3 linked regions of the Lepisosteus oculatus genome follow. The protein of the gene in region 1 interacts with the protein of each later gene in a pairwise test. Links are inferred from orthologs where the notes say so. Each region holds a gene or a part of one and is shown on either strand. Other genes may lie near its edges.

The links. The genes of interacting proteins can lie anywhere in the genome.
Region 2: the proteins of gfap (region 1) and PIH1 domain-containing protein 2 interact in binary tests that used the Homo sapiens proteins (3 or more experiments, as listed by UniProt). The two-hybrid records come from large-scale screens. The link is inferred for Lepisosteus oculatus from reciprocal best matches to the Homo sapiens genes GFAP and PIH1D2.
Region 3: the proteins of gfap (region 1) and tubgcp4 interact in a two-hybrid assay, tested with the Homo sapiens proteins (2 studies listed by BioGRID and IntAct). The two-hybrid records come from large-scale screens. The link is inferred for Lepisosteus oculatus from reciprocal best matches to the Homo sapiens genes GFAP and TUBGCP4.

What each region holds. Positions count from the first base shown.
Region 1 is NC_090723.1:1,939,428-1,950,641, reverse strand, and holds the start of gfap (glial fibrillary acidic protein), read right to left. Parts: upstream 4,419-11,214; 5' UTR 4,307-4,418; coding exon 3,801-4,306; intron 1-3,800.
Region 2 is NC_090718.1:15,287,554-15,298,771, reverse strand, and holds the start of PIH1 domain-containing protein 2, read right to left. Parts: upstream 5,565-11,218; 5' UTR 5,477-5,564; intron 3,393-5,476; 5' UTR 3,386-3,392; coding exon 3,203-3,385; intron 2,384-3,202; coding exon 2,260-2,383; intron 1,970-2,259; exon of another isoform or gene 1,899-1,969; intron 1,474-1,898; coding exon 1,240-1,473; intron 208-1,239; coding exon 1-207. Other genes in the region: uncharacterized protein NKAPD1, read left to right, coding at 6,765-6,774, 6,976-7,052, 8,078-8,181, 9,152-9,298, 9,626-9,679, 10,117-10,534.
Region 3 is NC_090700.1:49,615,401-49,626,391, reverse strand, and holds the start of tubgcp4 (gamma-tubulin complex component 4), read right to left. Parts: upstream 5,565-10,991; 5' UTR 5,424-5,564; coding exon 5,346-5,423; intron 4,434-5,345; coding exon 4,305-4,433; intron 3,284-4,304; coding exon 3,161-3,283; intron 2,859-3,160; coding exon 2,805-2,858; intron 2,485-2,804; coding exon 2,428-2,484; intron 1,876-2,427; coding exon 1,796-1,875; intron 1,460-1,795; coding exon 1,258-1,459; intron 400-1,257; coding exon 234-399; intron 48-233; coding exon 1-47. Other genes in the region: cdkn2aip (CDKN2A-interacting protein), read left to right, coding at 6,650-6,897, 7,189-7,310, 8,836-9,476. UniProt on the Homo sapiens protein: Component of the gamma-tubulin ring complex (gTuRC) which mediates microtubule nucleation.

The DNA.
Region 1 (11,214 bases):
TCCTGGTGAATTCCTGAAGCATGTCTGTAAGCAGTCATGAGGCAAAGTATATCAGCGTAGCACTAGCTTTACAGAGGGATTTAAAAAGCAGGATGTAGAAAATTGCTGACATCCTGTGAAATGTATGACTTTAGTAAGGATAAGTGTAGACTTTTTAAATCTTTAAAGCTTTCAGCACAACAGCATGCCCTGGAGGATGCTGTCAGTCTCACAGCACTCACATGGGGACTGAAAGTTGCACACACTTCTCCTGTACTAAGAGGCCACAAGAGATGTTAGACAGCAGCCTCAAGCATACAGAGCAACAGAACACAGAACCAAATCCCAGGTGATGTGTTGGAGTGATCGTGGTTTACAGTGTAATAGTTCTAGACAAGGCAATGGCTATGTTTGAAAACGTGTCAGAATAGCAACAATGAAAAGAAAACCTTTAGCCGTTAGGGGTCCCATAGTGCAAGATGAAGGAGTTTTGTCTCAACAGCGCAGGGCTCACAAGAATGTTCAAGCTTGGCTCTGCAAAGAGCTGGAGCTTTCAGAGTGCTTGCTGTGGCACTTGTCTGGGCTGAGCACGTTGGGCGCTCAGAGGTGTCTGAATCTGGAGCTTAGTGACAGACTTGTTACTCAAACAGGTGTAGCACCATATGATAACACAGTGTCATTTAGATGGTTTTTTAAATGTTCTTAGGAAGTGAGCTTCAGAGCACAAAGACGTAAAGTAATGTCTGGGTTACCCAGAAAGCTCTAAGAAATGTGTTTGTTTTTATGAGAAGCAAGCAGGTTGTTTGACGAACAACAATGCAACCAGATCTGAAAACAAACTATCACCAAAGAAGATAGCAGCCCTTGAAAAAACTAAAAGAAATTAAAAACACAGAACAATCTGGGATACTTTTTTAATATATCCCAGGAGGAGACTCAACATCATAACTCTTTTGTGCATTCAAATGAATTTTCTTTTACCATAAGTCAGCATTTCTACACATGTAGAACTGCTTGAACACAGAAAAATAATTAGATGCTTTAATTAGGCAGATACACAATATTGATAATCCTTTTAGGAGAAACGTGGATCAACAGAAAGCTACAATCTGCTGACTTCTACATCCGCTCTAAAATCCACCTTTATTTTATTTCCAGGGCAAAAAAGAGTCTGTGTTGTTGTGTACAAGGACCACAAACATCACCAGCGCTGACAAAGATTAAGAGATTAAACTGAACTTTTTGCAGCTGTGCATGGCCCATGCTCCCTCTGACAGCCAGCAGGCCAGACAATAAAGGCCCCTTTGTCACACTTGTCTGTGGGGACAGCAGCCACCCAGCCCACTGTTGGCAATTCCCAAAGAATAAAATTGTCAGAGATGTTATTTGTGGCATAGTCTCTGACAGAATGCACCATTCTTTGGGCACAGACATAAATTAGGCAGAGGTGTGGGATGAACTGTGGTCTCAGTTTTCCATTGTTTTCCATGGTGTTTTGGAGGAAGGAGGTTGAGCTGGAAAGGGATCTGGAGATGCTTCATAGTGTCTATACTGTACTGTTGTTTAACTGACAAATGGCAGAAGAGCTTTTCTCACCTTGTGCAAATAACCTCAAGGAAAGGAATTCTTTGGATGACAACAGTCAAATGTTTGCTTATCTGGCAAAAAGAGGCTAACTACTTTTATTTTTCATGTGCATTTGTCAAATGTTTATCTTAGCATTGCTGTTTGCACTGTGGGACTCTCAGTGCCATTTACAGACACGACTTACCTTCATCTCCTCTATATTGGTAAAGCAGGTTATAGAACTGAACCAAGCTGACTACCAATCCATTATGGGAGTAAAAAAGGAGCAATTAATATAGATTAATTAATCACTTCAAAGGGAAAAAATAAATACAAGGAAAAGAATAATAGTGCATTAAACAGGTCTGATTGTGTGACATGAGGATGAGATGGATTTCACTAATAATGGTGGGAAAGCATGCATGAACCCATCACAGCTATTACTCATCAAGAGCAAAGCTTTTCTTTAAGTACTGGCATGAATGCAAGAGTTCGTGCAGCTGTCACTTCAAGCAAGGCTGAAAAGAGGAATTTAATTCACAGTCAGGCTCTTTGTGGGGCCCAGTGAAAAGCCTATGTACATAATAAAATGTAGGGGGCTCCTTCACTCGACTGTTCTCCAAACGACTTCATATTGCGAAATTCAAGCAGCTACAGTAATGGGCCATCAGGTTTATTTGCTAGTAAACTCAAGGCTATAAATCCGTACATTTCAGGCTTCATGCAGCTTAGTGATCCAAGTGGATAAATTTATAACTTTACAGGTTATTATAATATAATAAAAGCGGCATGACTGATTCCATCTCCTCAGATCCCTGATAGGTGCACAGTCACAGGTAATGTTGTTAATTTTATTTTTTCTTGAGAAAACTGTCGCAAATGACTATGATTTATGACTCTAGCCCTGTTTAGGTAACCTTAGTTCACTTCACCTTTAGACAGCAAATCCATACCACTGAATAAGCTAACAGTGGTTTGAAGGTTTTAAGATCTGTATAACCGTCACAAATATGATATCTATCTGCAAACCCCATCTTACCAGAAATCTCTAGTTTAGCACAGTTTAATTGATGACAATAAAACCCTTTTTCAATAGTTTGAGGACACCAGCCTTCAGTATGAAGAATACCAAAATCAGTGGAATCAAAATATCCTACATTCCAACTGCTTTGAATGTCAGTTGAACACAAAACATTTCCAGCAGCACCACATCTGTGATGTAAAACTGAAAAAGTTTTTAATTCCACCCTAGTTCTTCTGCCCTGCTGTGTCACACTAATTTTGCATCTACAAATGCAGGCACTGGCACTCACAACACAAACACACTCTCACGCTCGGTGTTCACTCTGGCTTGTAAGGATAAGATTTAGTCAGCAGACATCATCTTTCCAGGGCAATTTCCAAAACTGTACTCTGAATTCCTTTCTGTTCTGAATGTCCTAGTAAAACCAGCTCAAATCTATACTGCATATGATAATACTATATAGGATGCTGTTTTATTTTGTGCATAGATTTAGAAGAATTTTATTTGAAGAACACAAGCAAAATAATTTATAAACATTTAAGTTATAAATATTCCTGTCCTGGAGAGCACAAAAAAACTTTCTGAAAAACTCCTAATTATTTTGCGTGTACAGGCTCTAGCAAGAGGAGACATCAGTTTTGCCTGACACTAAGCATACTCTCAGACACGACGACACGTAGGAAAATCAGCAGCACTGAATGGGGCATAACTCCTCTACTGGATTCTTTGCATTTTAAATTTGGGACATATTTTATAACTCTGTCACTACATTATAAAAGATTTAAAGAGTATTGCTCTCCAACCCATCCAACAGGTTCTCCTTGGTGACTTTATTCTATAGTTTACGAGTTCCCCATTGTTCTTAACCTAGGCTACACTCTATTGCACATTGCAATATACCAGCTCATTGTTAAGGGATATTGACTATACTGTACGTTTTTAAATCATGTCTTAAAGTATATTTTCAATTCCTGGCACACACTTATAGATCTACTTTTGATCTATACTTGTGGGCCAATTTATAAGGCCCTTTGAGACATGGCTAATGAATTATCCTGCCTGAACTGGAGACAGTTATTCTATCTCTTGTAGTAGCTGGACTCCAGATTTAGGCTTTTGCTTGTGGCACCAAAGCGATCCTTGGAGCCGCCGTACTGTTATTCTCTCCCCGGAATCTGAAAGGACTACGCTCGGGGCTTTGGGAATGCTGATAGGGGAAACTCCAGCTTACTTCTGCTGCAGGTGGGCCAGGTCCTCAGCCAGGTTGTCCCTCTCGATCTCCAGCCTGGCGCGGGTGGTGCTCAGCTGGTCCACCTGCTTGCGCAGCTCGCGCAGCTCGTCCTGGTAGATGTCGCCCAGGCGGGTGGGCTCCTTGCCCCTCAGCTGGTTCAGCTCGGCCACCAGCACCTTGTTCTGCTGCTCCAGGAAGCGCACCTTCTCGATGTAGCTGGCGAAGCGGTCGTTGAGCTCCATCATCTCCACCTTCTCGTTGGTGCGCGTCTCCTTGTACTGGGCTTTGAGCACGGTGTCCAGGGAGAAGTCCAGCTTGTCGGGCGTGAAGGAGCCCAGGACGACTCCACTGCGGCGCGCCGTGACATTGGAGTGCGAGAGCCGGGGAGAGCTGTGGACGGCGAATCGGCCAGAGGACAGGGATGTCCTTCCACCGCTCCCCGACGCCCCAAACCTCTTCCTGTAAGAAGACGCCACCACCCTTTGGGTCTCCATGTTCGTGCTCATGGTGTTCGGTGGAAATGGAACAAGTCAGCAAATGAAATGGTCTCTGTCCCTCTCCGGCTTTTATAGACACTGTCCTCCGCCCCCCCACCCTGAGCAGGAGGGCTTGAGACAGGAGGGGGAGAGAGGCAGGGGGAGGGGGAGCACCACAGCTAGGACTTGCCAGCCATTGTGCTCGTCTACTGAACTTGAAACTCTCCTGGCTTTCTCTCGCTTTCTGCAAGCTGGAGTTTTGGAATGTTATTCAGGAGGGAAAAAAAAAGATAATGAGCGCCTGAAGTACTCCTGTGCACTGTAGGGAACAACTCTGCTGCAGGACTGTGGTTTTCAAAACGGTTTTAATCAGTGTGGCTGCACACTGCGTCCAAGGGATTTACTGGAAATAACACTCACTGGACTCTCGCCGCAGTTTTGTAAAGCACTGCCATCTACAAAACACTTTGCAAGGATTTATTTTATGAAGATTTAAAAAAAAAAGGTGTAGGCAAAGGTGTAGGCACTCTTTTACAATGTCCTTCCTAGTCATAGAACTTATCTACCTTTGTCTGCATGAGGCCAAAGCCAAGAAAAGTAAGATAAAAATCAATTTCACTTTAAGTACAGTATGGCTATAGCTACTGTACATCCTTTAGGATTAATTTAAGAATTAACATTGCCTACTAACCAAGCATAAAGGACATTCTGTGTGTCCATTACGACTATCAAACTACAGTATTCGACTGTCATTGCTTTCACCTTTTAAGCACCTCTCATCTTCCCCTCAGCTGACACAATCTAAATAAATGTCAGTGTTTTCAATTATCTGAGATGTGCGACGACATCACTAGTGTTGTGTTGCTCTTGTGCACTTCAGCTGCCAGTAGCTTTGCACTGGTGTGAGCATGAGTGCGTACAGTAAACTTCTCTTCCACTCGTTAGAAAACTCCATATATCTGTCAGCACTGTAAGACAGTAAAAACTGAGTCCTTCCTTTCTTGGTCATATTGGCATATGACATATTGGCCCTCTAAATAACACAAAGACCTCTGGTCACTATAAAATGGTCTGGGCTTTGGAGTTATCACTGGATCAGCCAAGCACACAAACAGTGTTGAGGGGCTCCTGAAAATGTTTTCTACCAATTGTGTTGTCTCCAGTCAACCTTGCTGCTTACAATGACTTGAATGATTGCTCGGGTGTCACACAGCAATGGGTTACCATCCCATTGAGCGCAACCCTTGTATTCGCAGATCACTTGAGGCTACAAAAACCATTCTAGGCTCAGGGGCTGTGAGCCGCTGGGTCTGTGTTGACGTTCAACCATGGTGCTCACTGAAAGAGAGAGCACAAGAACAATGCGGTCATCGCAAGACTTTCAAACCTGCCCTGAATCTTACTTTTCTCTTGTTCTTCTGAAAGCTGCGATTTGTACATTTTTAAGTCAGCAACATCAAAGCAGCTGTCAAGTTAATTAGCTTCCCTGTTGTAAAATATATATTATTACTATAAGGGAACAAGTAATAGGTTTATTCCATGCTGAAAAAAAGAAGAAACAGAACACAACGTTTCGGCCGTGGAGCCTTCTTCAGGTGTGTCACTATTACTATAATATTATTTATTACAATATCTTATTTATTAATTTAAAAGAATTGCTTATGAAAGGCAGAACTTGTATTTCCAACCAAAAAGAAAAAGAAAAGTTATGCTTGCTGTCCAATTTCAATATGCCAACCTATCAACATTACAAACAGGATTCAAAAAGCAACAATATTGAAGATCTGAGACACATATTCTAATTCCTTCATCACAAACCAGCCCATGTCCTACCTCCGGTTTACAGACCCTGCTGAAGAGCATTAAGTCTCACAACATCTGAACAAAAACATGTTTATGATTCTGATGCAGCTGCTGAATTTTTAATAAATGTTTCTTTACGAGACTATAACAAGATAGATAGATTGGGCAAGTAGTAGAAGGACAAAGAAGTAGTACTTCATATCCTGGTTGGGTGGTTTTACTCTACAGGTCAACTTATTCAGGATGGTAAGAAGACATTAAATGATCTCTTTTGTACCTCCTCCCTCTCGTGTGAATTGGGCCTGAAATTCCAGCATTCACTCCGACAGATTTATCCTTTGCAGAAAGCTCTGGGCTGTGGAGGGCGGGGTTAAGAACTGGGGTAAGATGGGAGATCCATTTAATGACTCTGTGACTTTCGAGTCTTAGAGAAATATGGGGTCCGTTTCGAATTGATTAGCAGCAGTTGTCATAGAAACCTGGGGCCCTTTTCGAAAAAGTGTTTTTCTCTGGGGATTGTGGGACTGAGACAGCATTTTTGGATGATTTATTTTAAAATTTAAAATTTTATAATAAAATTATAAAATATAATCTTTTATAATAAAATATAATCTTACTCACAGAAACCAAAGCTAATTATCTGAACAATACATATAAGATCTTTTCAGTGCAGAAATGAAGCCTAGCATTCAGTGGCTTTCTTAAACTGATTCTTTAATCATAAAAAAGTTATCATAGATCAAGGACAGTGTTTTTCCAGGTTTTAAAGACTTACAGTCCCATCAGGTTTCTAGAACATATCGGTACCTAAATCGGAAAAGTGGATATTTAGAACAATTAACTCGTTAATTGAGTCAATTAATAGATGAATAGAAGAGACTAATTTGAATCAAAACCAGTGGACCATGGATCTCTCCCCGAACACAGGTGTGTATGAATGATGTTAAATTTCCCTTTTCCAATTCAACGTGACTTTGAACAGCTCCATCTTGGCCATCCCTTTATGTCTCTTCCTGTAACCCACCCTCCTCCTCTCCTTTTCTCCTTCAGCTCACCCTAGCAGCTCCTCTGGGAACGTCTGACCAGCCATGAGCTGCCGGAACAGCCCTGAACCGAGCCTCCAGCCCCCTGTCTGTAAACACTCCAAGGACAGACCTCCTGGAAAAGCTTTTATAAGGGTTTTTTAATAATGCCACAGCTCTCATTACAGGGGAACGAGCTTTTCCTTCCCCTTGCATAGGAAGAAAGAAGAGGCATGGGTGAAGGGAGAAAGAGGTATTGTTCATCTTGCTGTGCGTGAGCGATGTAGTCTGTCCCTGTGAAGGCATGGAGTTCAGGGGGGCCCACACTGTCTTAATGGGGGTTATTAATCCTCAGGCCCCTATCAAATTGAACTGCATGACTGCTTTCTCTTCCATAGACTACTAGGCCTCCTTTTTGTAATGAGAAAGTTCCCATAAAAGAGTGGGATAAAAAAATGGAGACAACCTTCCAATTTATGCTTCTCCTCAAACCCTGTCCCTCATAGCCTGTTCAGTTTAAGACACTTATCCAAGAAAGAATGGCTTTCAGGAAACATGGGAATGTTATACATTTGCCAATTCTTTTGCTGTTAACAATTATGTATCTATTTGCCATGATAAACAGTGCGGAAAACTATGTTATTGATGTGTGAATTCAGGATTTCACACTTACAGTAAAAATAAATAAAATACACATTTGAGCTGTGGAGCCATCCAGACATAGCTCCCTGCTCTAATATATACTGATAATAAAACTAATATTACTGTCTGCACAATTCCTGCTTTGAACTGGACTTAGATTCATGGCAGTGAATTTTCATGTTTCATGAAATTTCTTGATCATGGAGCTGTTCTTGTCTAATTGCTTCCAGTAGGTTTATAGATTGCTGGCTGATTTAACCGGATATTTTCCACAGCCTGTCACTCAAGGTCAGCAGGGAGGTCAGGGATCAAAGTCAGCACACAGTGTCACAGGCATGGTTACCCGAATCTTACCCCTGAGAAAACATTTTAAAAGATGGATCAGATATGGGTGTAATTGTGCAGAACATTCTCCTTTTAAAAAGGCTAATACGGCACCTGTAGAAGTGCTCTTCCTAGTATCAGTAACGACGTGGTGTCATTTAATAGAAAGAGTTGATCAGGGTCTACAATGAACTAATGGGACTTGTCTTCATGCACTAGCTGTATAAGAGCAGAAAACCGATCTCCGTGGGCTTGAATGTTAGGACACCTGGGAATAAAAGAAGATGGCTCAGTTTCTTCCAGTAGATCCAAACATCGTTGACTACAACATGGTTGTAAAGTTGGTTCCTCACACCTACGTTTTTTTTATGAAAAGCAGAGCCCCGCTTGCTTTGAATCAACCAGTTGTTAACATCCAGTTCGCGCCTGGCTTTGTGACAAACTGGCAAGCCCCCCACTCAGTGACCAATGAGAAAGCTCTTTGTCAGTCTGACCAAACAGCCCACTAGTGCTACTCTGTACAGAGACCAAGAGACGCTACTTTTTATTGTATTTCTTTGTTTTGTTGTGTTCTGTTTTTTTTAAAGAAGGAGAGGACAAAGACAGCAAACAAACTGAAATTAATCCTCTTGTTAATTGAAGTTAAATAAGAGGGACTTCTTTAACACTCCACTAATTTGTTTTTTAAAGCCCTGCCTCCACACACACAACATACGATGAAGTCTCATTATTATTTTCACACAAATCCTACAAACCAAGGATTTTTCAGGGTGCTACAGTCGTTGCCTCAGATCTAGTCACTCTGGTAATTCCTCAAGGTGGAAAAAACATTTGGATGGGAGAGTCCTGGAGACGTGCCTTGGGAGAAAGTGAGTAGTCATACATCTCTAATCAGGGGCAATTAAATGTTTTTATTTGCTTCTGTTTTGAAGGGAGTCTAAGAAGCCTCCTCTTGCCCCAAATCTAGAGCTGGCTAAGTCTAATGGCTGATTCATGGCCTTATCCAACAAGAGCCAGAACACAGCAAAAGAAAAAGCACAGACTAGTGTAAAGATTCCATTTGCATTGAGCCATCCCTTGGATGACAACAATCAACAAGACAGGCCCAAGGCTCTAATAGTCTTCAGCATTAACTTCAGACAGCCTGCCTGGCACTTAAATAAAAGAATCTTCTTTTCTGAACTGCTGTGAACTTAAAGCTAGATTCTCAACTTTCCAGCATTGCTGCTGAAGAAGAAAATGCAGAGAGTTATATGTGGCTTTGTAGATCAGAGCAATTCCTTTCAAGGTGTCAGCTTGTATTCTGTGCAACAAGGGTCTATTCCAATGAGCACTCAAACCACTGTATAGTGATGTTTTACCTATTATTTTATGGCCAAGATAAGATAGGGTATATGGGTGGCACAGTGGCACAGTGGTTAGCATTGCTACCTTGCAGTGCTGGGGCCCTGGGTTCAATTCTTGGGGTGTTACCTGCTTGGAATTTGTATGTTCTTCCTGTGTTTGTGTGGGTTTCCTCCCCCAGTCCAAAGACCTCCTGGTAGGCTAAATGGCTTCTGTGAAAACTGGCCCTGGTGTGAGTGTCTTTGAGTCTGTCTGCCCTGTGATGGACTGGTGTCCTGCCCAGGGTGCCCTGCCTTGTACCTGTGCCTGCTGGGATAGGCTTCAGGCCACCATGACCCCGAACTGGATAAGCAGCTATTGGATGCAATGTGAACGAGTTGAAGGTCTTATGTGAGTTATATTTTTCAAGAAAGTTACAAGTACAGTTGATGATTTGAGATATTTCTCCCTATGAGAAGGGAAAACAATTTTAGACATGCAAGATCACAGTTGTACACTCACTCATATCCCTGTGAACTGTCACACATGTTCATAATTAGCTATCATCAGCCAAAACAGGTGGAATAACATCTCATGTTATGTTATGTTATGCATCATGTGTCATATACTGAAAGCTAACTATCAGATTAAGAAGCCATTTTGTCATTATCTTTTCAAGATCGTAGAGACATTCCAGTCTCTGCTTGGTGCAACACCTAAGGGAACTGGTTATTTCCACAAATGGGATCTTCACGGCTTGTCATCTAGCACGTTGGGGAGTCTGTGCTACAGTAGTACACAAAGGAGGTGCTTGAGCTGCAAAAAAATCTGCCCCCTCTTTTGGAGGCTCAACTTCAGCTTTCCCTTCCTATCTTTGTCCTGCAGAACAATAGTCTCATATATACAGTAAACATTCTGTTATTGCTGCTTTTGAAAAGCATCCAATTTTCAGCACAAATGCCTGGTCTTAGAGAACTCTTTCCAATCTACCACACCCTTATATACTGTATACCAAGCACAGAACTTCTGTTAACAATCATCTGTGCTTGAATTAACTCAGGACAATTTTACAACTGGCCCTAATCAATCCTTACCGATGAGCTCTTTTCTATTTACAACACACAATGGGGATAGCTACAGGGGATAGAGACTACACCATATCCTAGGGCCTTTATAGACCCCTTCAACTTTTCCCCATATTCTGTCATACTGGAAACGGATTCATTCAAGTCACAGCTGTACCTGAAAACTTATGTGATGACTAGTGTAACCATCGAGAAATGAAGACAGTGTCTTTCCTGTTAGTCTAGAGTGTGGGAGAGAGAAAAGAGAATAGACCTGACTCTAGGGTGCAACTGCTGTTATATCCAAAAAGCTGAATCATTGACGGTTGCTAATCAGAACAGACACCCAGTGAGTCATTGGATCCTAGTCCAAACTGCAGTCACAATGAAGCTTTTCTGCTCTCCGCTGGAGGGTTTTGTGAATGTCCAGTAAGCCTGCAGTCAGCACTAATTGCTGGGCTGTTTTGCAGAACTGACACCACAAAGGCTTAATATTTGCCCGATACTGACTATGACACAGCTTATCCTTTGGCACATCCTGTTAACAAAGTTGATTGTGTGCTACAGTGGCCTTGGTTTGCTCAACACCTTTATTCCAAGAAGCAAGGGGCTGTGCACCATGCTGAGAGTCTCAAACATGCTTTGTTGTGTCTATGGCTGTAACGTTAAGGACTTGCTTGTGTCAAGAGGGTGCCACCTAGAGGACAGGATGGCTTCTGCAACCCCCCTGGTCCCACATTTGCAGTCTAAGAGTTTTAAA
Region 2 (11,218 bases), on another chromosome or scaffold:
TCCCTTCGCCGTCTTGGATAACCGCAAGCTTATAGCGGGGCTCCTGAGGCTGTGCTACTGTCGTCGTACTTGAGAGCTCCTGGATCAGACCACCTTTTGCTGGATTTGTGACTTCCTGAGGGAACAGCTGGCTGCACCCCTTCTCTTCTTCCTTCTCTTTGTTCTGCTGCAGTGCACAGATCTGCTGGAGCAGGGAGCCCCCTTCTTCTGGAAAGAAAGGACAGTCTTCTCCATAGGCTGAACGTGAACTTGGTTTGAGTGCCTTACATCCTACAGTACATCATAACTCGACTGGCGTCCAGCTGTTAATCTAAGGCAGCAGTTTGGCACCAGTGTGGCATATAAGGGTCTCGCTCAACAGCAGGGCCCCAAGGGGACATCTGAGGAGCTAAAGAAGGGCACGAGAGCTTTTTATGTACACCTAAATATGTACTAAATTTTTCTATAAGGCAATGTTTTTTACAGCAATTTATAAGTAGAAAAGTAGGACTCGCTCTCAAATCGCTGCATTGAATTTGCTACTAATCAGCTAAATCTAAACAAAATGTCAAAAATCCTTTTGTCTATGAAGGTCAGTCCTTGCCCAAGAACTGTTTTTGGAATTAAAATCTGACAACTACCCTCTCGGGCATCTTCAGTCAGCTAACTTTGACGCAAGACCGGATTTTCTGTGCTTTCGATGACCAGAAATAAGCACCACAACAGACTCGATGTTGAAAGTGACTTGCATTGTGCCTTATCTTCTACAGAGCTGAGAATTTCAAAACCCGTGACAAATATGCAGCATCAGAGCTCACATTGATAATGTTTGAGACAAGCTCTTAAATTAAATACACCAAAGTTCAAATGTGAATTTGGATCATACGACCTTCAATCTGTCAAGTAACAATTGAAATCAAAACATTTAAAAAAAATGTTTAAATACAATTTTAGCCTGTACACCAAGGGGGGCGGTGAACCACTGTCCTAAGGTGGCCGGAGGAGGAGTGTTAAAATGAGCTCGTTTTCCCTCGATCATCATTCTAGCTCGAGATAATTCTAAAAGCCTCGTATGGTGTGATGAACAATGTATTTAAGTTGGAGCTCTCTACTGTGTATACATTGTGTACTGCAAGACCTATACCAATGTGAGTTGCTGTTCTGGGGTGGGGCTTATGCATGTCTGTATATTTTTAAGTGGTTTCCAGCCAGACTACCCAGCACTAAACCCAGCTGGGCTGCTGGAAAGTGGTGGGTTACCTGGAGCGCTGTGGGCGGAGGTATTGAGAGGTGTGGCCAGGCGGTCTCTCATCCTCTGGGTGGGGCCCTTGATGTTGGCGCTGGTGAGAGTGTAGCAGGGTGAGAGGCGCAGCCCGTGGTTCTGCTCAGCGTACAACAAGGCCAGGCGGAGCAGCTGGTCCCTCTCTTCACCGTCGCCCTCTGCTCTCCGCAGCGTCTCGGGACTGAACGCCACATCGATCACACTGTACACCTCTTTAAGGGATTAAAAAACACACAGGTCCATCCATCCATTTTCGAACCACTTTATCCAATACAGGGGTGCTGAGGGGCCAGAACCTATCCCAAGTAAGCAACAGACACAAGGCAGGGTAATAACATCATCACTTTTAACTATTATCACTATTAACCCTTTACAATTTCTTGCATTAGGAATTATCTTTTTGCATACCCCATCTTGCTCTCCATGAGACACACAGACAGGGAGAGAAGCTGGGGGTCAGAGCGCAGGGTCAGCCATTGTATGGCACCCCTGGAGCAGCTGGGGTGAAGGGCCTTGCTCAGGAGCCCAACGGAGTAGGATTCCTCTGCCGGCTGCGGGATTTGAACCGGCAACCTTCCAGCCACAGGCGCAGACCCTTAGCCACAGAACCACCTCTCCGCCAAAAGCGTCGTTTTTATGCGCCAGCCGGGAATCGAACCCGGGTGGCAAGAATGGGAATCTTGTATGATACCACTACACCACTGGCGTAGACTCGGTATCTTTTTGGGCTGTGGGAGGAAACTGGAGCACCTCGAGGAAACCCCCATGTGAACATGGGGAGAACATACAGACTCCACACACACAGCACCCCTGGTCCGGAAGGGAAACAAAGGCCCCAGCGCTGTAAAGCAGCAATGCTGACCACTGAGCTGCAACACACAGGCTGTTTCTCTTCAAATGCACTTTCAACTAGGATTGACTCATTTGCAAACATGGTGGGTTTGTTTTTCCTTCTGGAATTGAATCGCGAAGCGGCGCGACCAGGGGAGTGGTGGTACCTTTGCCTTCAGCTCCAGTCGCGAGCTTGCTGGCGCACAGCGGGACGGGGCTGGAGTGAGACTCCGGAGTGGGGACCCGCTTCCAGCTGCACACGTTGACATAGAGCACGCCCTCCTCTGGCTCCTGCAGGACACAGCACAGCTTTGAAACAGGGTGTTCTGCACGCACTCACCAGAATATTAGGAATGCAATGACCACCGTGAATACTGCTTATGTGGTTTGAGCTGCTGCTTGCCGAGCCCTCGCACTTCATTGGTATGGCTCTGCAATATTACACCTTGTGGTTGATGATTAAATCATCTCTTTTCTCACCTCTTCCTCACTTTGATCCCCAGGTACATCTGACAGCAAACTGCAATTGGAGCTCTGGGGTTGTACAGTGTTTAAACTGCATTCCTATTATGTAAGGCGATTTCCACCTACTGGGGTGTAAAAAAAGTCTGTACAAGTACTGCAGTGCGCAGACAGGAGTGAGACGGGGGAGTGTGTACCGGTATAGCAGTGTAGAGACAGGAGTGAGACAGGGGGAGAGTGTACCAGTATCTCAGTGCGCAGACAGGAGTGAGACGGGGGAGTGTGTACCGGTATCTCAGTGCGCAGACAGGAGTGAGACGGGGGAGTGTGTACCAGTATCTCAGTGCGCAGACAGGAGTGAGACGGGGGAGTGTGTACCAGTATCTCAGTGCGCAGACAGGAGTGAGACGGGGGAGTGTGTACCGGTATCTCAGTGCGCAGACAGGAGTGAGACGGGGGGGTGTGTACCGGTATCTCAGTGCGCAGACAGGAGTGAGACGGGGGGGTGTGTACCGGTATCTCAGTGCGCAGACAGGAGTGAGACGGGGGAGTGTGTACCGGTATCTCAGTGCGCGGACAGGAGTGAGACGGGGGAGTGTGTACCGGTATCTCAGTGCGCGGACAGGAGTAAGACGGGGGAGTGTGTACCAGTATCTCAGTGCGCAGACAGGAGTGAGCCTGAGGGCTGCTGTAGTAATCAGCCCCGTCCTTCAGCTGCTGCTGGATGAACCTGCGGTAGCCCTCGGGGCTGCTCTCTGACAGGTCGTCCAGCAGGGACCAGAGCTGGCTGACCTGCTGCAGCACGGCCTGCTGGGAGCACGGAGCCGCCATGCCGCGCCTGTGGGGGAAACGGACACAGGTGACCCTTCTTCTTCTAGAGGGAATTGGTACTGGGCAGACACACAATTTCATCACATGAAAACTTAATAAGCACATGTTCAGTCAAAAAAATATATATCTAGTTCTCTTCCAAGATATCACACTGTCATTCCTGAATCTAGCACAGTGCAGTCCATAAGTATTTGGACAGTGACAGAATATTTGTTGTTTTGGCTCTGTATTCCAGCACATTGGATTTGAAACGAAACAATGACTATGAGGTTAAAGTGCAGAATGTCAGCTTTAATTGAAGAATATTTACATCTATATTGGGTGTAACATATAGGAATCACAGCCCCTTTTATACATAGTCCTCCCATTCTAGGGGACCAAAAGGAATTGGACAACTGGCTGCTCAGTTGTTTCTTGGCCAGCTGTGTGTCGTTGCATCGTTAGTTCCTGCACAAGAGAGCTAAGAAAAGGTCTGGAGTTCATTCTTCGTGTGACACTTGCGTCTGGAGTCTGTTGCTGTTGTCTCTCAACATGAGGAACAAAAAAGAGTCAATGTCATTAACACAGCAATCATGAGGCTGAAAAATCAGAATAAATCAATCACATAGCCAGAAGGTGTATCAAAATCAACTGTTTGGTACATTAAGAAGCAAGAACGCACTGGTGAGCTTAGCATAGCAAACGACCTGGTAGACCAGAGAAGACCACAGTAGTGATGACAGAAGAATACTTTCAATCGTGAAGAAAAACCCCTTTTCGACTGTTGAACAGAGCAGGAACCTTCTCCAGGATGTAGGTATAGATGTGTCAAAAACTACCATAAAGAGAAGAATACACCAGCATAACCTCAGAGGGTTCACCACAAGATGCAAACCCCTGGTAAGAAAGGCCACAGAAAGGCAAGGTAACAGTTTGCTAAAAAGTACATAAAAAAAGCCTGTAGAGTTCTGGGACAAAGTCTTATGGACAGATAAGGCGAAGATTAACCTGTACCAGAGTGATGGGAAGAGGAAAATGTGGAAAAAAAAGGGAACAGCTCATGATCCAAAGCAGACCACCTCATCTGTGGAACATGGTGGAGGTAGTGTCCTGGATTGGACATGTGTGGCTGCCAGTGGACCTGGCTCACTTGTCTTTCTTGATGATGTGACTGCAGACGGCAGCAGCAGGAAGAATTCTGAAATGTACAGAAGCATCTTATCTGCTCAGATCCAACCAAATGCCTCAAAACTCATTGGATGGTGCTACACCTTGCAGCAGGACAATGACCCCAAACATACTGCTAAAGCAACTGTGGAGTTTTTCAGGGCCAAAAAGTGGAATGTTTTCGACTGGCCAAGTCAATCACATGACCTGAATCCCATTGAGCATGCATTTCACTTCCTGAAGACAAGACTGAAAGCAAAAAGCCCTGGAAACAAGCAGGAACTGAAGATGGCTGAATTACAGGCCTGGCAGAGCATCACCAGGGAAGATACCCAACGTCTGGTGATGTCTATGTGTTGCAGACGTCAGGCAGTCATCAATTGCAAAGGATTTGCAACCAAGTATTAAACATGACAATTTTATTTAAGATGATGTTAATGTGTCCAATTACTTTTAGTCCCTTGAAATGGGGGGGCTATGTATAAAAAGGGCTGTGATTCTTATACGGTTCACCCAATACAGACGTAAATATCTTTGAATTAAAGCTGACATTCTGCACTTTAACCCCATAGTCATTGTTTCATTTCAAATCCAACGTGCTGCAGTACAGAGCCAAAACAACAATACCCGTGTCACTGTCTTTGGACTGCACTGGAAATATATTTAGGCATGGAAATATTCCGACTTTATGAGGCTTTGCAAATATAAAATGTGTCTTAGACAGTGACTCCTTTGCAGCACCTTTCATGATATATACATATTATGAAGACGTATAACTCGGGATTTCCAATTAACTTCGATAATATATTGCCTATAATCATTAGGCTAATAAAAACAGAAAAGAAAAAAATAACAGTGAAAATAAAAATGCCGCAAGTCAATCACATTAATGTATTTTTTTTTTTATACAAACACACATTTGTCCTGCTCTAAAATGCTGCCTACCTTGGTGTGCGATATTTGGGTGAGATTTTCAAATCTTCCCACAGCCTCCCGTCTATGCCTTTCTGTTGTAGCTTCTCGGTAACTATAGAAACGCAGTCCGTCAATCCGTGTGGGAGCTCAGGCTGGAAATATTGGTTCCCACCTCGATTTACACTCTTCTGTCATGCAGTCTCTTTCAATGCCGAAATGGATGTATCCGCTTACATTATTCTCAGTTTACTCCTCCGATGTACCGCAGGGTGCTACCGTGTTTAATTGTTCCTAACTGCTATCTTATATCACTATATTTTATTAGCGAGGAAAACAGGATGGGACGTTTAAGCAATGACAACAACGTCCGGTGAAACAACAGAGAAGCGGAGGAAGTCAGTGGGATGAAATAACATGATTTGTTTTAAGGACAAAGAATTACTGTAACAAAAAGGTAAGATTTTAACAGCCTATTAACAAAATCAATTTATATGCACTATGTTGGTATTTTAATGGTATTCATCCTTCAGTCAACTGAAGCTGGCAGGCGGTATTAAAACGAAAATGGAACTCGGTACAATTTCCGCATTTAAAACAGAAAGACACGAATGAAAAGTTTGGGAATTCGCGATAACGGAGCCCCTCTTTTTCGTTTTACCAAACTGCTCCTGCTGAGCCTAAAAAGAGCCTGAAACAGCTTCTACAGGAGCTCGTCACACACGTGAAAAATGTGTGTGCGCTACTGCTGTCTCTTTGTTACTTAATTGTGTGGGAGCTCTCAGTGGGAACAGCTAGGCTTTCGCCTGCATGTCTCAACACGGGAATAAAGTCAACAGTTCCCTGTGCTTTTCCAGGAGCGAGCAGGGAATCAAACCGCTGTATTCATGAAGCAAATTGTTTACCACATTATACCAGTGGGCTATAGACTTGTGTTTTCCTGTAAAAGTAAAAATGAACGTCTTCAAAACCAGAGTCATGGGGGTTTGTGAGTATAGGAGGGTTTTGGGGTACCTTAAGCACTGCCAGTGCAGTTGGGCTGAGCCTTTCTGCCACGCTGAAGAGTTGTTGCTTTGAAAAGGGACTTTTAAGATTTTTCCAGCGTAGAGACATTTCAATAAACTCACAACAGTCCTCTTTGCGACCATCTTTAGAATATTCCTGGTTAGGCTAGGTGTCAGTTCTCCCAACAGATTCACGTTCAGCACATGTAATAGCAAATCTTGGAATTTTCATATGATAATCAGCTTCTGAGGTCTTGCGTGTGATGTCTGTTGTTCCAGCATGATGCTTGAAAACCTTTGCTGGCTGGTTGACCTGTATGAGCTCAGGTACTCAGCAGACGCCTGAATGTTTTGTGTTTTGATAGTGCTAATTTGTGAAAACCTGGGGCATGAAACTGAACTGTAACGACTGTACATTTGGGGTGCAAATTCAAAGTCCAGGGTCCTTGATTAAGAAATTTCTATCTTCTTGCATGTTAGCAAAAGAAGTTGCCCTGGCTAAGTGTATTTACATTTTTGTCTGTATAGGTTTGATCATGTCTCGTGTTCCTATGGGAAAGGTGCTTCTCCGAAATGTCATCCGTCACACAGATGCTCATAATAAGGTAAGCAGGAGTTCATCAGGTACTCCAGGTGCTACTAATCAGACTACATCAAGGGCGCACGCACACACACACATGCACACACGCACGACTTTAGAGATGTCAGTTAACCAGGACAGCATGGATTTGTTTATGAATGTGGAAACCGGAACACCACAGAAAACCCACCCAGACGGTACCCCAATCCAGAATCGTCCTCATCGCCAGCAGCCATATCACCCTGCAACTCACAACTGGCAGCCCCACTGAAGCTAAGCAGGTGTGAGCCGGGTCAGTACCTGGATGGGAGACCTCCTGGGGAAAAACTAAGGTTGCTGCTGGAAGAGGTGTTAGTGGGGCCAGCAGGGGGCGCTCACCCTGTGGACCATGTGGGTCCTAATGCCCCAGTATAGTGACGGGGACACTATACTGTAAACAGGCGCCGTCCTTCGGATGAAACGTAAAACCAGGGTCCTGACTCTCTGTGGTCATTAAAAATCCCAGGGCGTTTCTTGAAAAGAGTAGGGGTGTAACCCCGGCGTCCTGGCAAAATTTCCCATTGGCCTTTACCAATCGTGGCCTCCTAATAATCCCCTCTATGAATTGGCTACATTACTCTCTGCTCTCCTCCCCACTGAGAGCTGATGTGTGGGGAGCGTTCTGGCGCACTATGGCTGCCGTTGCATCATCCAGGTGGGGCTGCACACTGGTGGTGGAGGGGATCCCCATTACCTGTAAAGCGCTTTGAACTTGAACTTGAACTTTATTGCCATATGTAACCGGTACTGGTACAATGGAATTCTTACTTACAGAAAGAAGAGTGGAGTGTCCAGAAAAGCGCTATAAGCTTTTATAATAATAATAATTATTATAACTATAATAATAATTGTAAGCAATTATTATTACTCCAGTATTATTATTACTCCAATTATTATTACTCTTATGATTATAAGATCCTGCCAGATCCTGTCAGGCTGTGGTGCTGGTGATCGGGATTTGCCGAGCTGTAACCACACCTGCGTTTGTCTCCTTCTTTCCTGGTGGGGCAGATCCAGGAGGAGTCGGAGATGTGGAAGATGAGGGAGAAGGAGCGCCAGACGCTGGGTGATCATGCCAGATGGCATCGACGAAAGCTGGATCATGACCTGAGCAGGTTTGCATCCTCCTAAATAAGAGCTCTGTACAGCAGGCTGTGGTGTTCAATAGTGTTCTTAATCTTTCCTAGAAAGACAACCCTGCAGTATTATATAAGTTACAGGAAACCTAAAGTATTGTACTATAAATGGGGGGGAGTGTATAAAAAAGGAGCTGTCAAATTAAAATCCAAAAATCAGGTCCTGAAAACATAGCAAATTCTAATATCAATAATAATAACAACCCTGATTTTAAGGGAATACCGAGCATTACCAGCATGTGTGCTCTTAGCTTCTCCAACACAGCTTGGTAATAGAGTAAAAGGGGGGACCTTAATAAGACAAATATTTATGTTGTTATAGCTACACAAGCAAACAGCACATGGTCTTCATGGCTATATACAGCTATGTACAATACAGTGAGCTACCAGAGACCTGCCTTCAACCTGCATAGAAAATATAGAATTGCTTCCTTATATTCAAGACACAAAACAACTTAAAAAGGCAAATTCTATTTAATATCCTATTTAGCATTCTGTTTAACAAGGGTTCTGTCCAAGACTACATTACTGGGCTTAAAGAGATGCTAAATGAATGAGTTTTTTAAAACACTAACCAATGAGAGAGGCTTTTAGCCTATTGATTCTACAAATGGGGATCAGTAATAATTTACCTTCATGAAGATTTGAACAATGCATGGGGAGCTTTTTCTGAGAACTTGGACTGATTGATTTCTAAAAGTGTCCAGTGCCCTGGACAGGAGGTCCTGCAGGATGCTATCAGCACAGGCCAGGTTGTGTCGCTGTCTGCTGTTCAAAATCACTGACTCTGCATTCCTGCTTAGGGCGCACTCACACAGGATCTGGGTCTGGTTCCAGCTTTTCTGTTCCAGTTCCTGTTTTGAGACCCCTGCACGGTTCCCGATCCTTTGAAACTGGCCGTGCAGAGCTGCGAGGAGGAACGGTAATTTTGTGCTGTTTGGTGTGTCAGGGGCCGCATGCGCTGTGACGGCTTCGACGAGGAGGAGCTCCCCGGGGACGGGGGGGCGGCAACGGCGCAGAGCTCCGAGGGAGACGTCCGCGAGGCCCGCCACTGGACCAAGAAGCTGTACGAGTTCGAGGCCGGCGACCCCGACAGGTTGGTGTCTGGCCAGTCATCCGCGTTAAAACAGCTGACACTGACATGTCAGCGCAGGCGCATTGAGAAGGCTGATTCTCCTGATGCACAAACATTTTCTTACTACAGTAGCTGCAGCAGCTTGCAATGTAAATGGCATTCCTCATATTATCTGGGGTAACTGTTACCACTCTGACTAGTTCCTAGTCTGATCTAGTGTTCCTAGTGTTCATGGAATCCAGCTGTGTCCCTTATAGGTACATCTACTGTACATACAGGTTTGTGCAATTGCCTGTTTCCTAGCGCTGTGCTCAGTGATGTTGAACAACACGCTGCTGTCTGTTCCAGGTGGGGCCACAGTGGCTTTAAGGAGCTCTACCCCGAAGAGTTTGAGACAGACAGGTAAGAAACCCCACAATTCTGTACTGTGCAGCATACTCATCCCCTTCAGGGTTTACCTGTAAAATGTACCCAGTCTGTTACACTGCATACTCTTAGTGGGATCTGGTTTTATGGTCCTTTTTTGCAGCAACAAGTGTCTGTGCCTTTTATTTTAACAAAGGACAAGTATTATATAGACTATATGTCATGGCACATACACGTATGTCTCGTGAATGTAAAAGCAGTGGATAATTCTTGGAGCGTTTTACAGTATAGCTGGGGCTAAAGTGAAATGGCAGGGGAGTTGAGAGGGTGTGACCCACTCCTGTAATATTATCGCAATCCAGTATCTGCAGGAAGACTTCAGCTGGCCCTCCAAGGATACATCTGCTCCCCAGTCGGTCAAGATCGGCCTGTCAATTGAGAGACACTGACTTTGTCACCCCTGTCTCTCCCAGTGACCAGCAGTGCAGCGATGGCGAGAACATCCACCGCCGAGAGAAGGCGCCCAGGTCGGCGAGCCCCGAGTCGGGCCGACGCAAGCGCTCCAAGAAGACGCTGAAGAAGAAGACGAAGAAGAAGGCCAAAAAGAGGAAGAAGGAGGAGGAGCCGGGCAAGCGCAGGAAGAAGAGCAGCAAGGAGAAGCGGAGGAAGAGGAGGAAGGAGAAGGGCCCGGGCGGCAGGAAGGACTCGCACAGCAGCAGCAGCAGCAGCTCGGAGGACGAGGAGACGGGAGGGACCCCCCGCGGCCGCAGGAAGAGACCCCACGAGGCCCGGGCGGAGAGCGAGCACGAGGAGGAGCTGCGCAGGAAGAGGAGGAGGAGGAATTGGAAGGTGGCGGACGAGGAGAAGTCGGAGGACAGCTCTGAGGACTGAGCAGCGGAGGGCCTCCGACACGCAGCCCCTTTCTTTCAGTCCAGATCTCCTCTCGCTCTCTCCCCCTTGGAAGAGCTCCGTAAACGGAGGGGCTCTGCTGTCCCTGCCGCACAATCAGGAAGAACAAAGTGCCGGGTGCAAGCACCACAGAGACCTTGTTTTTGTGAAACTTTTCAGCTCTGGAGTTTTTAAAAGGTGTGGGAAGAAAGGACAGGTGTAAACTCAGTGTGATGGCCAGTGCTTGTGCTGTTTGGCACAGTGTCCATTCAACTAGGCAGAAGCCATTCAGGGATTTTTTGTTTCAGCCCAGGTGTTCTCTGTCTGAGGCCTTGTCCTTGTCCGTGTCCTGGTTCTGGGCCCTGGTTCAGCTGGCATGTGGCTCGCTGGTGCAGCTGCCTCTCACAATAATGACAGTGTTTTTGTACAGCCTTGCTATCGGCACGTCTTTATAATTACTGTTGTTGTGTTGTTATTTCCAAAGCCCCCTACTGTTTTCGGTGAGAGAAATGTTTTTCTGGCGGTCGAGATGTTGGAACGGCTGCCGATGCGCGGACCCAAGCAGGAGCATGTGTCACCTCTCTCACTTCACTTGGGGGGGTGCTGTGTACGTGTGCCCCAGCTTTCACATCCCACCTGTGTGGGCAATAATGGGTTTGCCACTAAACATGGTGAATTTCTGTAGTG
Region 3 (10,991 bases), on another chromosome or scaffold:
ATGGAGCTCTGCGGCAAAAAGATCCTCCTGGTGCTTCAGGATAGAGCCTGTTGGGAAAGACAGAGACACAATGGTTCCAAGGCTAGCCTCTGCATTATGTGAAAAGTATTAGTAATCTGCAGGGATTGCCAAAGAGACTACAATCTTTCAAGGGCAAGGCTTCAAGTGTTAATACAGGCTAGACAACGAGGAGTAACCATATGTTCAAAATGGCTCTGGCAGGGCTCTCTCACCGGATCGGGATGGGTGTTGATTTTGGTTTTCAAACATCTGGACAGACTCGCCCACAAAGAGGATCTTCTCTGCCACGCGGACAGGGATGTAGGAGGGCAGCATCTCAACACGCAGGGAGAACTGCTGGAGGGATGGAGCCAGCATGTTCTCCTCCTCAATCAGCCGCTGCAGAGACCAGAAAGGAAGGCAGTAGTGCTGTGGTGTGGGGTGTGCCCACAAGAGGTCCATCATTCCCAAAACCACCGAGTGCATTTTAAACCACAGTAAAAGAAAAATGTAAAAAGAAACGTATAAAACCTCAAATTTACATCACAAAATAGATTCAATTTCCAGGTATGCACAGTGCCATATTCTGCGATTCAGACCGGGGCAACAAAACTTCCAGTGAGGAAGTTTGTAAAGAAGCAGGCTTGTGAATACATCTCTTTTAATCCAACAGAAATTATGCTCTCAACTTTGAGATCGTTTTGCTTACTTGTTACTACTTACTTGTTAACTCTACTTGCAGATCACGTTGGAACATTTCTGCAGTGAAATGTCTGCTGCACAACCTGTACTTATCTGCTCATACATCACATTACATTCGTCATTACATTAACCAGTGAGCAGGAAGGGCCGCATCACGGCACAATTCTCACAAACTCTCGCCCATGGCCAGGTTGGGGTTTATGACAAAATGGCAAGTTACAGTACATTCACAAAGTTCAAGACTGTTCGCTTAATTTGAAATTTGTAATTTTTTTCTACACTGTCAATGAATTTATTTTGCTACTGAGCTTTAACAACCAGTCTGCGAAATTCCCCTTTAAAGCAATCTCACTCAAGGAGTCCAAGTATTCTGAAGCATTCACCCTTTGTCTCTCACTTCCCTCACTGCTTGAATCCTTCTATAGTCACAGAATGATAACTTCCTTTCTTTTCCTCTTTCCTCATACCCAATTTGCAAATCAAGGGGATTCTTCTATATATCCCTGACTCTGCGTCCTGTCTGCCTTAAGGCCCACACCTGTTTGCTCCACTCACCAAGTCCTGAAGCTCTCGCAGCTGCTTCCCGCTCAGCCCCCCAATCCCCAGGTCTTCCTCCTCCTCCTCCTGGGCAGGCGTCGCCCCCCCTGCGCTGGGGCCCTGCTTCACAAAGAACTCCTCGCTCTGGTCCAGCAGCAACCCATGCAGCATCCAGGCTGCCAGCTGTTTGTACATGACCCCGTGGCAGACTGCCAGGATCCTGCGTGACAGACCCAGACTGAGAACGCCCTTCTTCTGAACACCAGCACGCAAGGTGGAAAGCAAGTACACAGCCAACAGGTCAAACTGTAACACAGCTAGATAAAGCAGTGCAGAACAGTGAATGCTTCAAAGGGAGCCACCAAACCAGGACATACAGTATGGCTGGTTTAAAGGTCATCGATATGACCTAAACTTTTCCTAGCAACCAGTGTTAGGAAAAATACTCCTTGTACAGCTGAACTGTGATCTTCAGAGAAAAGGCTTGAAGAGCCACAGCACAAAAACATTTAAAACAGAGATATCAGTCTTGAGCCAAGAGGGGGACACCACTCACTTCTCCAAGGCCGTGCGGACAGGGGGGAGCCCTCCACAGCTGTGCTTGTATACCGTCTCCAGGATCTGACAGCCATGGATCTGCTCAGCGGAGAGGACATAGCCAAACTGTTTTCTGTACCATATACTGTTTAGCCCATATGGCCTTTCAGACTCAGAAAAAATGTACAGGAGTGCACAGAATCAGCACCACTGGTCAATTTCTTTTTTGCATTGCTGATCCAAGGTGTTTTATGGATGAACAGAAGATGACTGTACTCCCTTTAAGGTTATATAATATTAACACATACCATTCTAATGCAAAATAACATCAGAATTGTTTAACCGGCATATCTATTCATCTGATACACCATCAATATGCACCAATGAGTTCGCCAGTACTGATTAACGATGCAAGTCTTAGAACTAGCACTAAAACAACACAATTTATCAATATTTTTACTTAGAAATGCAACATTCAGCATGACCTCTTCACCTACAGGAATGTATTAATCCTTATATACTTCATCCTGTGGAGACAAACTCCACAGCCTATGACAGAGCATTAATATTTATTCCATTTCTCTTCCTGCAGACCTGTCAATTGCTTTCGAGTCAGAGCTCATGCACAGCCAGGTGCAGTGCAAAACGTACCTTCTGGGACTTAATGGACTCCACCACTACCATAACAGATGGGAAAAGCAGCTGAAACTAGAGAGCAGAAACACAGAAACAATGAATGAAAACAGCTGTTTCCACATGTCTGAGCTCAGCCCTGATCACACCCACAGTATAAGTGATTGTGCTTAAATTTTTACATTCAGAATGATTTCTGGTGCTTCTTTCACACTACATTGACTATACCTGGTGAATTTGAAAAAGTGAAGAAAAAATTGATACCATTTATTTTATGTGGAATCAGAACACTGACGATACATTATAAAGTACTACTTTGTGTAATAAAAACTATTGTAGTTACTGAATAAATAATAAAACCCTTGCGCTCTTCAAGTCTGAGTGCTCTGAATTACCTGGTCCAGCCTGTAGTTGACATGGGAGATAGTGAGATGGGGATCCCCCAGGAACTGAAAAAAAGCAAAACCATTTTAACATGAATGAAAAATCAGAAGTACACTGGTATACTTAATATAAATTCTGTATTTATCAATGTAATGCTTTTTTTGTCTCATGAATCGGGAGAATATCAGTTTTTAGACTTAGCACAGAAAGTGCCAGGTAGAAGGGAGTCAAGGTATTATAAGTAGTCAGGAAGGGAAGCTTTGGACTCAACTGTACAGAGGCAGAAAGAAGAATTCTGCGTGTGGTATAGTGTGAACTGGTAACTATCAAAGTTCAGAGAAAGGATCGGCTCAGCCGCCCCTCCTACCTCTTGCTCTAGGTCCAGCAAGGCCTGGCGGTAGGGCTGTAACATGGAGTCCAGCCCGGTGCAGAATGCTCGCAGGTAGATTCCATGGAGTCCAGACTGGTTTGGCTGGGAAGCATGGTGCTCCTGTGTGCGCAGTGAACAGTCAGGGTTCCAGTAAACATGCAAGATCTACAATGTTCCCCTCACACTGTCATGAGCTTGCTTTCAGACCAGACTAAGATTCCACAAAAACATTTAATATTGTCATATTATCGTTCACTAGACGAGCGACGGAAATTTCCTAATAACGAAAAATGCCTAAAAAGTGGGAGGAAAAGGCTAATTAGATACACAACGCAACCTGACAAAGAGTTGTTAAAACCCTATTCTTATCCCGCTAATAATTATTTTGAGCATTACTTATCCTGGCAAAAGGAGGAAGGTCTATGAAAATGTATTTTATCTGCGGTCCCAACCTGATGTATAAAATAATGGGGTTAAGCATTATCAATTTTACTTGAAGTGAAAGAAAGGATAATTACATTGCTTTGATATAATGCATATAGGTTTTTGAGCAGCAAAGATACAGGTGCAGCAAAGTGTTTTATACACAGTTGTGGGAATTGTAGTTCTTCCTTGTTACAATTGCATCCTGGGACATTGAACACTACAAAAGCAGGGGAAACAGGTAACCTGTAGGTTGCTTTCAGGCTAAATTACAATGTTTAATAAAGGATAAATCAGCCTCTCTAAAGTCACTGGAATTACAGCAAGTAGCTGGTAAATAGCAGTAGAGGGTCTGAATTAGTTTTCATAATTTATTACATAACATAGGTTAATTTAAAATATTCAGCCTTCCACAGAAAACATTTTGTTTTGAAGTACAATATCTGAATTCCCGTAAAAAAATGCCTGAACTCTAAAAACAAACCCAAATCTTTTCTGCACCTTTGACTTCAAGCAGCATAGGATACAGCTCCTTTTAATAGCTAATATTTTTCATATTTATTTTAATATTGCAACCCAGAAAATAGTTTTTCCTTTTTTGCTGTTTTGTTTGCTACGTGTTCTTTAGGAGTGAAAACTCACTAGACATTCTCAGACCAAAGTCCTCAGCCCCCGGCGCGCATCTCTGGCCCCTGTCTCTGTGGTGGCAGTGCCTCACCTGCTGGTGCACGTGGCCCGTGTGCTGCTCAATGAACTCAGTGAAGCGGATGTAGTCAGAGCCCAGTTTGCACACTCTGTTCAGGACACTGCTCTCACTGGGATGGAGGAAGGGCAGGTCCTGGGACACCTGAGGGAAAAACAAAAAGGTCTCAGAGTAATACATACACAATAATAGATGATATGGGTAAGGTGGGTGCAAGTAAATGTGTGCTATAAAGTAACGGCAAAATCAAAAACAGACTCCAGAGTGGTAAATTTTTCTCAGCACAGCAGTTCTAATGCCTTGTCCGTGGTAAACCAGAGCTGCTTTTTTAATTGATAACTTCTGCCGGACCTAATGGTTTCTTGGTATACAGGTAACACTGGAAAGCTATGGTCTTGTGTGAATCAGTTCGTTATTTTCTACCCACTGTTGAGTGCAAGTGGCTAATCTAATTGATATGACCAGCACCGCCATGATTATAATAGATGGATTAAAGGTGAATTTCAGGGAGAAATACAGGGGGTAATCCCCTACTCTTTTGAACAATGCCATAAGATCTTTAGTGACTAAGCAATCCGGACCTCAGTTTTACATCTCCTCTTGAGCACCGACTCTCTGCAGCACAGTCATAGATCATTGGACCACTGGGACACATTTATTTTTGCCTGTCGTTGAATGGGACAATGCTCTTTTAAACCGAACAGAGACAGAGTGTACGTAATGAATTACAATGGCAAATAAATGCAGTTAATAATGTCGAAGAAAACATTCTATAACAAGAGGGCAATGATAATGTTTTCTAAAATTGGATCTAGTGTTAAAGCAATGAATGCAAACCACATTTTAATGATAGGTATGTCTCTGTAAAAATACACTGGATCAATACAAATTACATTCTGTATTGCCTAATAGAAAGACTCACAGCCTACAGATGCTTTTTACATGTTTCAGTCTTAGCGTTTTAAAACATAAATTAAAATAACAGCTGGAAATATATTCATTATATCTATCTTCGGCATTAGAAAAAGCAATAGAAAAATATTTTTTCAATCCCACCTGTAAACCGGTTCGTTTATTCCACGTAAATATGGTACCAGGGTACCCACTTAGAGCAAGCAGCAGTTCATGGATCATTGCAAGTTTTATTTCCAAAAAGAAATTTAAGATATAAGGCGGAATATTGTGCCAAGACTTCAACACAGTACTGTATTTTCTTTAACGCAGCCGCCAAACATACCGCCGCAATTCGATGACGTTTGCCGACAACACGCCAGTGCAGTATGGGAAGTATAGTTTTTTGCGCAGCCCAGTTAAAACTGGTAGGCCTAGATGAAGCGTGACTTGTGTGGTTGTGGGAGTTGTAGTTCTTATTTGTTGTAGTTGCGTCTTGGGACATGTAGTACTACTGGCAGAGGGAAACGGGTGAGTTGCTGGATGTTCTCGTAGTAAATACGATGTTAGGTTATTTTTCTTGTAATTGCCTGTGGTTTTTTTTTTTGTCGACATCTGAACACACTTTCTCTCTTCCAGATCTAACGTAGAGCTCAGAGCAAGCCTTTGTTGGTAAGGGGTGTGAGCAACTTGAGCCTTGCTACTAGAATTAAGTAGGCCCTGCATTTTCTAAAATTCTCTCCTGTGTTTGTTTACCTTTGTTCATAACAGTTTAAGGTTTTTAAAATCAGTGTATTTTGTCAGTTTTAACTTAAAGCCTACGTAATCGGTGTAGGGAACTTAGTTTTCTTCTTGTTTTAACCATTAAATTCCTACATTCCGGTAAACGAGGTCTGCTAGGAATGTATTTATCTTTATTGAGATAGTCTGTGTTAAACCACTTAACTAAAACATATAAACAAAATCTTAAGTACATTATGAGTTTTTCCAACATTCTCTTCGAAAAAGTAGCCATTAAAGGTGGTTTATATGTATTCGATAGTTTAACGTATGATGACAACAAAATGATTATTAGATTCAGACGAGCTCTGTTTTAATACGTCTTAACAGAACATAGATCTCATTGTACCGAGATTGCAACTATTTAATAAACGATCAAAACAGAACGAACAGAAGCTGGGCACTTACTATACTGTTCTCAGATGAATTCACATTGATGATAATATATTTTCATTTGGTTCTGTAGGCTCGATACAACGTTCGAATGTAAAAACGTATCTCAGCACAGTTTGTAATTGGGATACGCCACACACGTCTTAAAATGCGCTTAACCGGTTTTTGACGGCTCAGATTTAATTTAACACTCGTCTTAAACCACGCAGAGTGGCCGAGAGGTGGTGGTTTCTCGCACGGAAAGGTCATTGGAGTGATGCACGGTTTTTAAAAGTGAGTTGTCTGGGGTTGCAGAGATGGCGGAGGGGAGGAGTGGAGACGACATCGTGTCGGAGTTTCTCCGTCAGAACGCTCACTTGAAGCAGTGGGTGGAGAGCCTGCGGGGGCACTGCGAGACGGACAAACAGTGGCGTGCCAGGCGAGAGTTCATCCTCCGGAACATGGAGGTTTTCACCGGCATCACTCCAGGAGTTCCCAGCCGCAGCTTGGACCAGCTGCTGTCTCTCTCCATGGTCTGGGCGAACCACGTCTTTCTCGGCTGTCGGTGAGTCACAAAGAAGCACTGGGTGGGGGTTTAATCCAAACGTGTGACATAAACCCATCCAGCTCCACACTTTTTTGTAATCTTGCTGAATTAACATGGTCTGAAAGCTGCAAAGAATGAATAGTAGTGATCTCTTAGAAGCTCTCAAAGACTATTTAAGAAGGCAAGATAGATTCTTAAAGCAGAGAGCTTGTAGTCTACTGCAAAATTGAAACTGTTGCTTTCCAGTGGGGTACTCTGTGCATTCTTCAGACCTAGGCTGGAGAGAAAGGGCTTCTTGTCTGCTTGCAGGTATCCCCAACCTGTCATGGACAAGATAACAGAGATGGCAGAAGGGGTGGTCGTGCATGAGGCTCCAGTTCGCAAGACAAGAGATGAGCTAATGGGCAAAGGAAAGAGAACAGCCTCCACAGGTGAAGTATGGGCAGTGTGTAAAACTGTGATGTATTACAGCCCTGTTCACTTCACATTGGACTTGGCTCAAAAGTGGTTGCACTATGGTGTGTAATGATTAGATCCAGTACCTTTGGAGAGTACTTTCCACATTGGAAACAGAATGCAGTTTGACACAGGTGTAACACAAAAAATAACTGAGTGCTATTTTGTGTAATTCTTCATGTGACAGCCAGGAAAAGTGAGCATTTTAGGTAATAGCTTCACTGCCAATCACTATGAATATGCAGATCAGGACGATGTTATTTAGGAGTGCATTTCAAAGGAATTGGCTATGTACATATAACATTAGTTTTGTTCCATGGAAGATTGAGCTTTGTAAAAAGCATTTTATCCCTATTGGAGATGGTGTACTTTACCATGTTCTTCTACAGATTACCCTCTCAGCTATTTTGACTCCTTTAGAATAAGTCCTTTCTCAAGGATCTGCCACTCCGGTGTAAATGGTCATATAGCTGAAAATACACAGTTTTTGCCTTTAGATCTATGTAACAGGACACAGTGCACTGATCATGTTACTGGAACAATATAATCTTACTTCAAATCTAGACAGTGTGCTATTCTGTGGCAGAAGTCCCAGTCTTTTGGCAGAGTAGAGTTCATCTCTGAATTGTTTATGTAGTAGGATCACTTACCTTGCAGATTTAAGTCTAAATGTTAGAAAGGTTCAAAATCTTAAGCATTTGCATTTTGCATCTCCACAAGGGACCAGTTTACATGTTTGTCAGCATTTTTGTCTGTGATGCACATAGGACATTGGGTGTGCACAAGATTTTAATAGAAGGTCTGTTAATAGAATTGTGTTTTTACTAAAAATAAAATATTTAGCATGATACCTTGGAAAAGAAACCAGGGGACTGACATTGGATACTCTCTGCAATGTTGCTGCCCATGGCAGATGTGCTTGTTGTATTTTATTTTGTGAGGGTCATAATTCACAAATCATGTTTTCTTTTTATATGAAATTAATAACTTATATATACACTACAAAGTAACTTTTCAAACGTGCCTGAAATATTTTTGCCTTTTTCTGTTAATTGATGCTGTAGAAAATCCTACATCCATCAGTATAGCAAGTTTCTCTTTTTCCCTGTCATTATCTCACTCACAGTTACAGCCTTTCATAGTCAGGAGATGAAATCTGCCCCTTCTATCCTCTGGTGTAACAGTAGTTGATGAAAGCTCAAAGGGAAAGAATATATCAAAAAGCTTTAAACTTTTTAAGTTTGCCTCAGAAAAAAAGATCAGAAGGTACCAGCTATCATTTTGAAATAACCTGTCACTGCGGGTGAGATATGGGAAGTAGTCCTTTGCTAAAGATTCTTTTCGTACATGCATTGTTGCCATTTAAGATGGTAGGAATCCCCCCCCCCCCCCCCCCCCCCCCAGCTCAACATAGTTAAATGTTTCATTAGCAATAAAATGAGAGGCACAAGAAAGAATAATAAACCTTACTGGAATTTTGGGGGATTTTCTGTTTGGCAGAAGGGGAGTGTGATGTTTCTCAGAAGAAGCTGAAGGCTGGTAGTGGCAGGGAAGAAAGCAGAAGTGGAGTCCGGGGTCCAGGATGTCTGGGGAGTAACGTGCAGACCCATCCAGGAAACAGGGCCAACTCACAAGCAGCGATGCGGCCCCCCAAGCTAGGACCTCCTCCACACGCCCCCAGTGCCCACCAGCCCTTCTTCAACCGTCTCTACAAGGCAGTGGCGTGGAAATTGGTGTCAGCCGGGGGATTTGGGCCCAACCTGAACCACTTTGAGATCCTGCGGGCCTGTGTGGAGTCTTCTAAGGCCAGCCTGACCTGTGCGTTTGTGCCCTTGAAAGACATCCCAGACCTGCCAAGTAGCCGCATCCAGAAGGAGGGGCAGGTGTGTGAGCTGCGCTGCCAGACTGTGTACTTAGGCACGGGCTACGGACGTGGGGAGGACAGTGCCAGAGCCATGGCAGCCAAGGAGGCCCTGAAGATCTTCCAGGGCCGCAAGGTCACGGTGAAGATCTGCCGGCGGAAGTACCAGGGTGGGGATGTGGAAGACTTGGTCCTACAAGACGATCAGCTGAGGAGTTCTGGTTTCCCACCAGCACTCAGCTATCCCTTCCAGCCAGAACAGCAAGCTGCAGCCCTTTAATAAGACAAGCAATCGACTCAAGAACACTTTAAATTAAAATTGTCATAATTTTCTTTTTTTTTTAGGCTTTTCCTATGGTGCTTCTACATCCTTCTGGGACGCAGTAGATGTTGCCTTTTATTGTAGAAAGCCCTGCAGGCACAAAAAATACCATTGGCTTTAGATAAGAGTGACAGCACAACCAAAAGATGGCATTACAGAGTTATAATACAAATTTGGTGCTGAGGCAAGGCAATGCTTAAAATTAAATTGGGCGCAAAAAATATTAAGTTTAGTTGATGTAAATATTTTAAACATTGGATCTGCATCAAGGCTGGATAGCCTTCATACAGGTTCATGCGGTTCTGTTTGAACCATCAGGTTTGTTAGGTGATGAAACTATGAAAACTGTCCCATGTTCCACAGGTTCAAGTGAGTACTTCTTCTGTTATCGGGGATCAGTGTTGAACAGCTTGTTGGAAAGTTCTTAATATAGTTTATACTTCTGTTCAAAACACAATTTCTGTTAAATATGGAAAATCATATACATTTGATTTATTAAAAGATATTTTAGACAAAATGATTTGCATGAAGTGAAGCTTAAAGCACTTCAGAATGAAGCAAGAAATATATATGAAGATATTATTGAGTGAACGTAAGAATGAAAAGTAAGTAATTGAGACTGAGCTATGTAAAAGAAGGTTTGATTTTCATGCACAGGAGAAAAAAATACAATTTATGTTAAATTTCTGATTAATATGGTAAAGTCTTCACTGCTTCAAAAATGATCAGTACCAGGAAACATTTTATAATTATATTCAGCTGTTAAGAAGACATGATTTTTAAAGTGTCCAAACAGAGCTTTCAGAGATGTTCACCAAATGTGTAATATCTAGCTGTAGTTCTGATCACTGTATAAAATGATCTGTTCCAAATTTAAGTCCGTTTTTGATGTTATTTTAATAAAAACAGTTTAAGAGTTTAATACTGTAATTACAAATCTCCAGCTGGAAATATGTGGGCTGAATTAGGTTTTTACAAAAAAACAAAGTCAAAACATCTAGCCAGTTCAGACAGAGGTATGTAGGCACACTGCAGGGAGTGTTTGGTGATGAGGAAATCTAAGCCGTTTCCTTTCATGGCATACATGGCATACTATTGCTTAAAGGAAACATGGTCAGTTGTCTCACTATTTGTCTTGGACTGATTTGGGATTTTGTTTGCTGGATTTTGTTCCCCCAAGTACAGATGTTTTTGCAATTGTTTTTTAAGGGTTTTATTCTCCAAATAATTTTATCTTTTATCATATGTACATTGACTACTAATGGAAAGTTCTTTATGATATTTTTGGGTCTACTCTGAAACATGTTATGGGTTTCTAAGGGCTTAGCTTAGAAGTTTGTCTATTGACAAGAATGTGGCAGTGTGCAATAGAAGAAGCTGCCAGCCTCTGATGAAAACTTCCTTTGTAAATTTTCAAATAGTGAGAGACTTCTGTGTTCTGTTGTCTAAACATGCCCTAAATAGTTAATTTTT